2 linked regions of the Drosophila melanogaster genome follow. The protein of the gene in region 1 interacts with the protein of each later gene in a pairwise test. Each region holds a gene or a part of one and is shown on either strand. Other genes may lie near its edges. The genes, in order: Idi and Naa30A.

Evidence for each region.
Region 2: the proteins of Idi (region 1) and Naa30A interact in a two-hybrid assay, tested with the Drosophila melanogaster proteins (one large-scale study listed by BioGRID).

The regions. Positions count from the first base shown.
Region 1 is NT_033777.3:21,268,439-21,272,216, reverse strand, and holds Idi (Isopentenyl-diphosphate delta isomerase), read right to left. Parts: upstream 2,092-3,778; 5' UTR 2,002-2,091; coding exon 1,687-2,001; intron 1,631-1,686; coding exon 1,175-1,630; 3' UTR 809-1,174; downstream 1-808. Other genes in the region: CG3308 (uncharacterized protein), read left to right, coding at 1-62, 124-262; AP-2sigma (adaptor protein complex 2, sigma subunit), read left to right, coding at 2,264-2,266, 2,323-2,472, 2,533-2,808; Rab1, read left to right, coding at 3,424-3,446.
Region 2 is NC_004354.4:1,340,216-1,345,415, forward strand, and holds Naa30A (N(alpha)-acetyltransferase 30 A), read left to right. Parts: upstream 1-1,890; 5' UTR 1,891-2,276; coding exon 2,277-2,999; intron 3,000-3,074; coding exon 3,075-3,320; intron 3,321-3,563; coding exon 3,564-3,728; 3' UTR 3,729-4,555; downstream 4,556-5,200. Other genes in the region: MTPAP (mitochondrial poly(A) polymerase), read right to left, coding at 5,026-5,200.

The sequences.
Region 1 (3,778 bases):
TCCAAGCTACCGCAACACGTGAAGACTGGTATCACCGAACGCTCATTGTTGTACTTACACAGGTGGGCGAAGTAAAAAGTACCAAAATAGGTCACTCTTCTATTAGTTCAAAATACCTTCCAGATATTGTACCTTCCAACGCAACGAGCCGTGCAGTTTGCCCGCCATTGTAGAGATGATAGCCGCCTTCATGAAGAAAAGCCCGGACGAGGTGGCTTTGGCCACTGCCTTTAATGCCCTGAAACTGTTTGGCTTGTCCTAGAAAATGGTAAAGGAGCCACATGGAACTGAACGACAAAGTGTGCCACCCAGCAGCTTTAAACCCGTAACTCTATAGATTCAACGAGCCTGAGATTCACGATAGACTCATACCTATGTGCCTTAACCACTAATCGAATTCAGGATGAAGCGCTTATCCTGATCCCCACACATACACACATCCACAAATACGACCCCCATTGCATGCGAAAAGTACGTATACGTATATAACTATATATTCACCCCCTGCCGTAAAGGTGCAAACCATCGATCGAAGTTTGCAGGGTCTAGCTTTAAGTTGTTGGAATTTCCGAGCAATTGCTTTATTTACTCGAGTACCCAGAGAAACGGTGCCAAGGTGGTGCCTCGTGAACGTCGACTCCGGATTCGCCCGGGGTCTGCACTTCACGCCTCGAAGCGCGCGCTTCGAACTCGCTCCCGAAGCGATATATGTTAATGTTAAGTGCTGCAGCTTGTCTTTTGTTTGTTTCTTCTGTATTTAGGCTAGAATCAATACTTTTAGTTTGTGTCTCTGTTAGCCTGTAGTCGTACTTTTGTACATATTTATTCTTGTTGCGACGATGACGATGATGATGATGATTATGGGAAACGTAATGTGATCATTTTAAAAGCTAATTAGTTATTTGATATTCAACATACAAACACATTAGTTAGGCTATGAAACATATTGAATATCGTGCGCCTATACAAACTATATATGTATTGTTATATTTACATATACAAAAGCGTTGTACTGAACTGATCGACCCGCGGAGGTTGCATAAAATCCGCTTTGTGCCCATTGTCCGCACACAGACACACACTATTTTCCATTTGAATAAAGCGAATTTGAAACCCAAACGAACAAAAGCCCCTTTTAGACGTCATTACGTGTATTTTTGGTTGGTTAGCACACTTAAAAGCGCTGAATATTACTCAAGTCCTCAAATTGCTCCAGCTGGTGCAAATTGTCCCACCAGAGTTTCAATCGATGCTGCAGAATCAGAGAGAACCAGGGTGTCAGCGGGGCACTAAACTTCGCCACCGCCTCGTCGATCTTATCGCGGCGCAAGTAGCGCACCTCACTGACCTCGTTGCTATTTGGACGCAGCGTCACGTCTTTTTGCAGGAACAGGATGTAGTCTATCTCGTGCTCGCCCCACACGCCGTCGCCCGTGTCTGCGTAGTGGATGCGGGTCAGGTAGCGAAAGTCCTGTGGCTGCAGTTCCTCTGTGGGAATGCCCAGTTCGTAGTTGAGACGTCGTTGAGCGGCCACACGGATGCCCTGTGCGTTGCGCTCCTGACGTTCCTGTTCGATTTCGTAAAGCGGATGGCTGCAGCACGCGTTGGTGTAGGTGTTTGGGAAGGTTATCTAAGGATACAGAGGATTATGGACCTTGTAATAAGGGGATTACCCTTTAATTTCACCTTGTGAGACGATCGCTTCTGCACTAGCATCTCTCCCTGAGAATTGAAGAGAAAAACACTGAAGGCGCGATGGAGCTTAACATCATTCGTCTCTGGATGCACACGGTGGCAGTCTGCCTTAGAGGCGGCCCCAATGGCTTGGTCGTTGGCGTCAACCAGGATGCACTGTTCCTTTAGAGCGTGAGCCTGCAGAGGATCGTGTACGGCGAACTCCGTGGGCACCTGGCGCTGATGTTTCTGGCCCACCGCTGTCGTTGAGCAACCGCGCAGCCAGGATACGCGGGGCAACAGGAGATTCAAGCGAGAGGCCAACATTTTTGGTAAATGACTAGTTTGGAGTGGTGGCCAAAACAAATATGAAAGTGAAACTTCGTAATACAGCGCGCGGGTCTGCCAACTCGTTTGCTTTCTGCGCGAACTGTTTGCAACACTGACGAGGTAACAGCTGTTCCGGAACAGTAGTGGTAGCCCTGGTCCCAGTGATACACAATTTGCTCATAATCAGTTTTTCGCCCCCATTCTCGAAACAAAAAAAGTTGTAAATAAGCAGGAAACGGTTTAACCAATTTCCCGAAAAATGGTAAGCAACTAGCCAGCTATAAGCTTAGACCCCTATTTGACCTTCCATTCGCCCAGATACGATTCATACTTATACAAAACCGAGCTGGAAAAACTCGCCTGGCCAAGTGGTATATGAACTTCGATGACGACGAGAAGCAGAAACTGATTGAGGAGGTGCATGCCGTGGTCACAGTGCGCGATGCCAAGCACACCAACTTTGTGGAGGTGGGATCGAGTCCATATGTTCTTTTGAATCACCCTTTTATCACACTTTTGCCTTTGTAGTTCCGCAACTTCAAGATCGTCTACCGACGCTATGCGGGTCTGTACTTCTGCATCTGCGTGGACGTAAACGACAACAACCTGTGCTATCTGGAGGCCATTCACAACTTCGTGGAGGTGCTCAACGAATACTTCCATAATGTGTGCGAGCTGGATCTGGTCTTCAACTTCTACAAGGTGTACAGTGTGGTGGACGAGATGTTCCTGGCGGGCGAGATCCGGGAGACCTCGCAGACGAAGGTGCTCAAGCAGCTGCTCACGCTAAATTCGCTGGAGTAGCGGCCCAATTCATACATATGTATATCGGATCTGCCAGATGCATTCCCCCAGGCGCTACACCCGCCTATCGAATCTTCTTTCATATACTATTACGCGTATTATTATTATTATCTTTAATGTGTTCTCTATGCAAACACTCAAATGTTAAAGGCCGTGTTTAGAAACAAATGATGTACCATAAGAGATTGTATGCAAAAGTTAAGTATTTTTGTTTTTATATGGGGTGTGTTAGGGGTCATTTGGCGATAATCCATATATTTTCTTCTCTGGTTCCGCCCACTCACCTCCGTAGACAAGATAATGTGTAGCCCTGGTTGGAAGAGGGCCCCGCGCATTTTCCAACACTGCCGCTAATGCCACTTCGTCATTTTTTCAGTCGCCATTGTTCTCGTTCTCGGCCGTCGAATTTGTGGAAATAAACGTATTTCCCATTTAAATTCGCTGCAATAATTACAATAGCGAACTGCAAAACACAACACAAGCCGAGTGCGTGTCGATTTCCAGTATTTCGGAACGCGCAAATCAAATAAAAACACTCTGAACAGCAGCCAGTCCAGGGCCAGAAATCGAATATTTGTTCGTGGCAAATATATAATCTTGTGAAAAAGCCAGAAAATGTCATCTGTGAATCCGGAATAGTAAGTCGTCACACGTAATTATGCGCAGTTATCTGGAGTTAAAACAGTGACTGGGCTTCCACTTCCTTTTCTGGCCTTCGAAAATAGTTTCTTTTATTTTTTCTGCGACGTCATTTCTGCTACGTTTCATTCCCATTCATTATCGAGCAGCCCCACTCCACTCCCTTTTGCCCTCGTTGGCAACTCCAAAAAAACAGACCATTTGCTAAAAACAAAATACACACTCGGACCTAACAACCGACCCAATCGAGAAACCATAACCAAAACTGTGTGTTTCAGCTGGATTTCAATGTAGTGCCCACGGGCGAGGCGATGAAAAGCGCGTTCGAAAC
Region 2 (5,200 bases), on another chromosome or scaffold:
ACAATGCTATGTCCGTTGGCTGGGGAGCCGCCAGTTACCATGATCAACCGACACAAAAAATATAGTTTAAAACAAGAAGTCCATGCCATTGTGGCCAAACTGCATATATCATTTCGTCACGTGGGTGCTAAGTGCTAAATTGTATCTCTATCTTTTAGAGATCTCCGCCAGCAAGGTGATAAGGCGTTGGCTGCGGCACCTGTCCGCTCCCGCTCTCTCCCCTTTCTTCGTTACCCTTTCTCCGCCACTGCTTTTACTTTATTCGGCCATTCACTTTCTCCGTATGTTGTTTGCTTTGCTAATTTTGGATTTGCCCGCGTCACTGCAGCAACAGCGAAAAGTGAAACAGACGTCCAGAAAAACGGACGCCAACTTGCGCTTGCAAGTTCGTATGCAAAATTTCAAGAAATTATCCAATCGCGTGGCTCGGATTATTCAATTTCAGTCAATCAAATTCAAGTCCAATTCCGTATGCAAAGTAGGCTATGCTGGTCCGAAAGCAGATCGAAGATCGAGACCGCCTGGCCTCCCCAGCCGATTTCGTCACCAGCTAGTGCTGATGTAGTCCCAGTTCTGGGGGCAGCCAGCCCAACTGAGAGGCAACGACATCGGCCATGCCGAGTTCGTTCGTTACCCAAGTCTTTCGATTATGACGTTGGGAGGAGCTGGAGTCCCCATCAAAGCGACGGGCTATAACGCTAAAACAGTCGACTGATTGCCGTCGTTAAAAATCCACAAAATTGACAGCAAACGGCAGGCGGATTTCTCCTGGCAGTTACCACATACATATGTACATACATTGTAAAATCAGGGGTTATATTTTCATTTGACTCGAAACCTTTGCAAGTTCCGAATAATCCTGCGTTCTCAACCAAGACAAACGGCAAGGAAAGTGGAGGAAGTGCAGATCTCAGGAAACTGCGGATTAGTGACTTATGTGACTTATATGATTCGAGATTGTAATTTGGTTTTATTGCATTTGATTTAGCTGTAATTTATGGATTTTATTTTATGGCGAATGCTAATGGCGCGAAAAGGAAACCAAAAGTAGGCGAAGGTCGCACTGCAGAGTTATTAATTAGTACAACTGAATTTAACTAGTAACTTACCAATTGAAGAACGTTTTTAATAGTTTGGAAATCACAAAACAAAAGAGACAAAAAAATAAGCGCAGGAGAAAACACGCACGTACACACAAACACACACACGTATACTTTTAAATGGCGAGTGTAAGTGAACATACGTTTCGAGCAATTTATTGGACTTCCATCCGTTTTCGGGTAACATTTCGATGCTACTCATTGCCACGACATGCACTTAATTATAACTAACACTTCAAACTGATTTGCAGCACTTTTTTCAAACAAAAGTCCCGTAAATCAAAAATCTTTACGCCGTAAAATAGTTGCTTCTTCTTTAAGAAGAAAAGGAAGAACAAGAAGAGAACTTTGAAATGAGCAGCTTCTTCTTCTTATTATTGATCCTCTTTTCCGTTATGTACAGCACACCCTCGCAAAAAGGCACAAGCTGACGATCTAATTTGGCAAAAGTATTGCAAATACAAATAAGTTAACATTCCAAAGTCAGAAATTAAATGGCAGCTATAAAGAATATAGGTATGAGAATATTACGTTTAAAGATTGTAATAATATTACAAAGATCAAATCTAATCAAATATCAAATATATGAACATTTGCGATGTAAGGTGCATGCCAAATATAAATTTGATAAAATCAACGTAGTTTTAGATTTTATTTAATATAATTTTTAAATATTTTCATTAATCTTAGCTGTTAATTTAATAGTAATAATATCAATTGATAATTCGATAGCCGATAGTCACAGTTGGCCGGCGATGATTGTATCGATAGTATCGAGTGCCAATCGATTGCTGTTACAGCTGTTCGCGCATATGTGTGGGTGGGATTTATTCATAGCAAGGAAAATTACGAGTTTTGCGGATATAGGATTTTACATAAGTTTGCCATGCACACGCACTAGCGCCACAAATCGAGATCGGATTGATCGATCCGGAACTCCGAATATCGGAAGCACAACAAAGAGGACGGCCGACTGCCCCATGTGTGCGTGCGCGAGTGTGTGAGTATGTGCGTGAGCGTGTGCGTGTGCGTGTGAATGAAAAACCATCAACTGTGAAAATATAACCAAAAATAAGTCCGAGGCACACGGTTGCAGGCGAGGATTACCAGTCCTCCCAGATAAGCCCCGGAGGAGCAGCAGGTTCCCTCTTAGAGCCAATTCCGTCGCTTTTCAGAATGGCGGATGCCCAGGCAGCGGCGGCCGGAAAGAAGAAGTACAAGAACAAAAAGAACTCAGCGGAGAAGAACCCCAATCACAATCCAAATTCCAGTGGCCAGGTGGAGGCACAGACACCCAGCAATGGACACGTTCAGCACCAAGAGGAGGAGGCGACGGAAGACCAGGAGCCAGCGCAGGAACTCAGAGGCCTGCTTAAAAAGATGCACCTTTGCAATGGCCATGGTCACAAGGAGCAGGAGGCTCGGCCGCTTGGGGAGGTCGTCAATGGCCATGCACATGGGCACAGCAACAACAATCACATTCGCTGCACAAGCGGCAGCAGCAACAACAACAACAGCACTCACAACAACAACAGCGTGGACAGCAGCAACAACAACCGCAAGCAGCGAAGAGAAGGAGGCGACGGCGGAGGATCGGATTCGAACTCCCTCAAACCGGAGGAGAAGCCCATAACAGCCACAAGCAAAACCACTGCCAACATACACCCAACCACAACGACGGACCCAAAACCAAAAGTGTCGGAGGATGTAGCTGTGGAACAGGGAGTGCATGTGGCGACGGGGAGTGGCCACAGTCGGGAGCAGGAGAGGAAGCAACCGCCCTCCGACTATGCAGAGGGGGCCACGCCCACCATTACAGCACAGCTCCAACTGCCGGAACCTGCCATTTCAGCCGACGAGATCGTATATAAGGAATACGAGGCTGAACACCAAATGCATGTGAGTACCTCCAAGTATGACCAAGTGCGAACTGTGCGCAACACTTATCTAATTCCCCGCATATCGAACACGCAGGACATCATGCGACTGATCCAGGCGGAGCTGTCCGAGCCGTACTCGATATACACGTATCGCTACTTCATCTACAATTGGCCAAAACTCTGCTTCCTCGCCTCGCACGACAATCAGTACGTGGGCGCCATCGTGTGCAAGCTGGATATGCACATGAACGTGCGGCGCGGCTACATCGCCATGCTGGCCGTGCGCAAGGAGTATCGCAAGCTCAAAATCGGCACCACGCTGGTCACCAAGGCCATAGAGGTAGGATGTCTGGGGCATCTTTCCCTTGCAATAAGTTATAAATCGGGTTGCATGTAATCGATGCTCGATATGTGTGTTACGGAACAATTATGTGTTGTTAACTATGGATGAAATTGCCATCAAAGCTCACCAATGGCTCCTCGAGCCTCGAGGTATACTTTCGGGCACATTGGCGAGGGATACATACCAACTACCTCTCTTTCTGTGAAAACTTATATCACACTGCAATTTTCCCATTTGCAGGCAATGCTGGCCGACAATGCCGACGAGGTGGTGCTTGAGACGGAGATGCGTAACCAGCCGGCTTTGCGGCTCTACGAGAACTTGGGCTTCGTGCGAGATAAGCGGCTGTTCCGCTACTATCTTAACGGGGTGGACGCGCTGCGGCTGAAGCTCTGGTTTAGATGAGTGGACCCGGCGGCTGCCGTTGAAATTGTTGTCTAAGTAGCCGCCGAAGATGTCGAGATCTGCGCTCTGCGGAGGACCAGGGCGCTCCCCTCGTCCTGGGTCCTGGCCAGCTGGCAGCTTGTATCGGCGCCCTCTTTTTTGTACCTATTTAACTAGGAAGCATCGTAGCATCAGTTTATTTTCTCCCCAACTCACACCGTCCCTTGTCTCTCTTTCATTTGTAAATTATTTTATTATGTAGCAGCAGCAGTACGAGCAACATCTGCTACATATGCAGGAGCAGCACGAGCAGCACACAACGGACCCGAAATTTGGTTAATTTTACAGGAGGCAATTTTGTATGCAATACGTGATTTACATGCATAAAATTAAGCATTAAAGTCGTAAGCAAGCAATTAGTTATGTACATTAAACAATCTACAAAAACCAATCTAGGGAATAGACAACAACATGAAGCAGCAGCGCAGCACACGCTCATCGACGCCCATTTACAAAGCTATAAACATAGTATCAAATTTTGTAAAAAGATCAATCAAAGCGATGATCGCGCAAGTCGAACGATAAACTCGATCATGTATATCAAAATAAACGCAATTGGAACCAAGAGCTGAGAACAGACACACAAAAATGCAGCCTCATATGCATACTTGTATACAAACCTTCAATGGGTGGATGGCGGTGGTCCTCGCGGCTAAGAAAACTCGCCATCTGGTCTTAAGTAACCTCTCTGTGCTCTCCAGAAACACGTAACACGTAGCGATAAGGATAAAGATGTGGTGGATCCCGAGTAACATTGAAAGAACGCAATAAAATCTTCAACAAATGCGAAAATCCTGCCTTCTGTTCTTTAGTTTAGCACAACTTGGGGAATAGCGAGCTTGTTTGGAAGTTTGTGTGGTGTTTTCCAATTGAGAAACTATATGCCAGTACGGTATTTTCGTTTTATTATCATAAAAAACAGAATTATAACTACTCGAACTAGGAAAGTATGTCTTACGGATAACTACTCATCCACAAAGTCAAATAATGACTGCTTCCTTCGGCTCTTTTTGACGTGCCCCACCGATCTTTCCCTGCCCTGCCACACTTGGTCGCATTCGTCAACAACAATCGGTTTCAATACTCAAAGTCGGATCGATCATGGACTTATCCTAACTAGCAGGAGGTTTTAAAGTATGAACAACATTCAATTCAGCCAACGGCGGCTGCCCTAACCTTAAGCTGGACTCACCATGAATGTGAAGTTGTGGCTTATCCTAAGTATGTATGTACATGGGCGGTGTCAGTCTCGGAAACATCACCTGCTTCGCCGTCGATTATTGGGACTGCTCGTCGGAACTGAGCTGCCTGATCCGCGCAGCTGCTTTAGTTCGGAGCGCGTAGCAGCCTTGATGCTCTGCACCTGCTGCCGCACAGAGGCACTCTTGTAGGTTATGGCTGGTGTGGGAGGAGTTGAGCTGGACGTTGCTCCC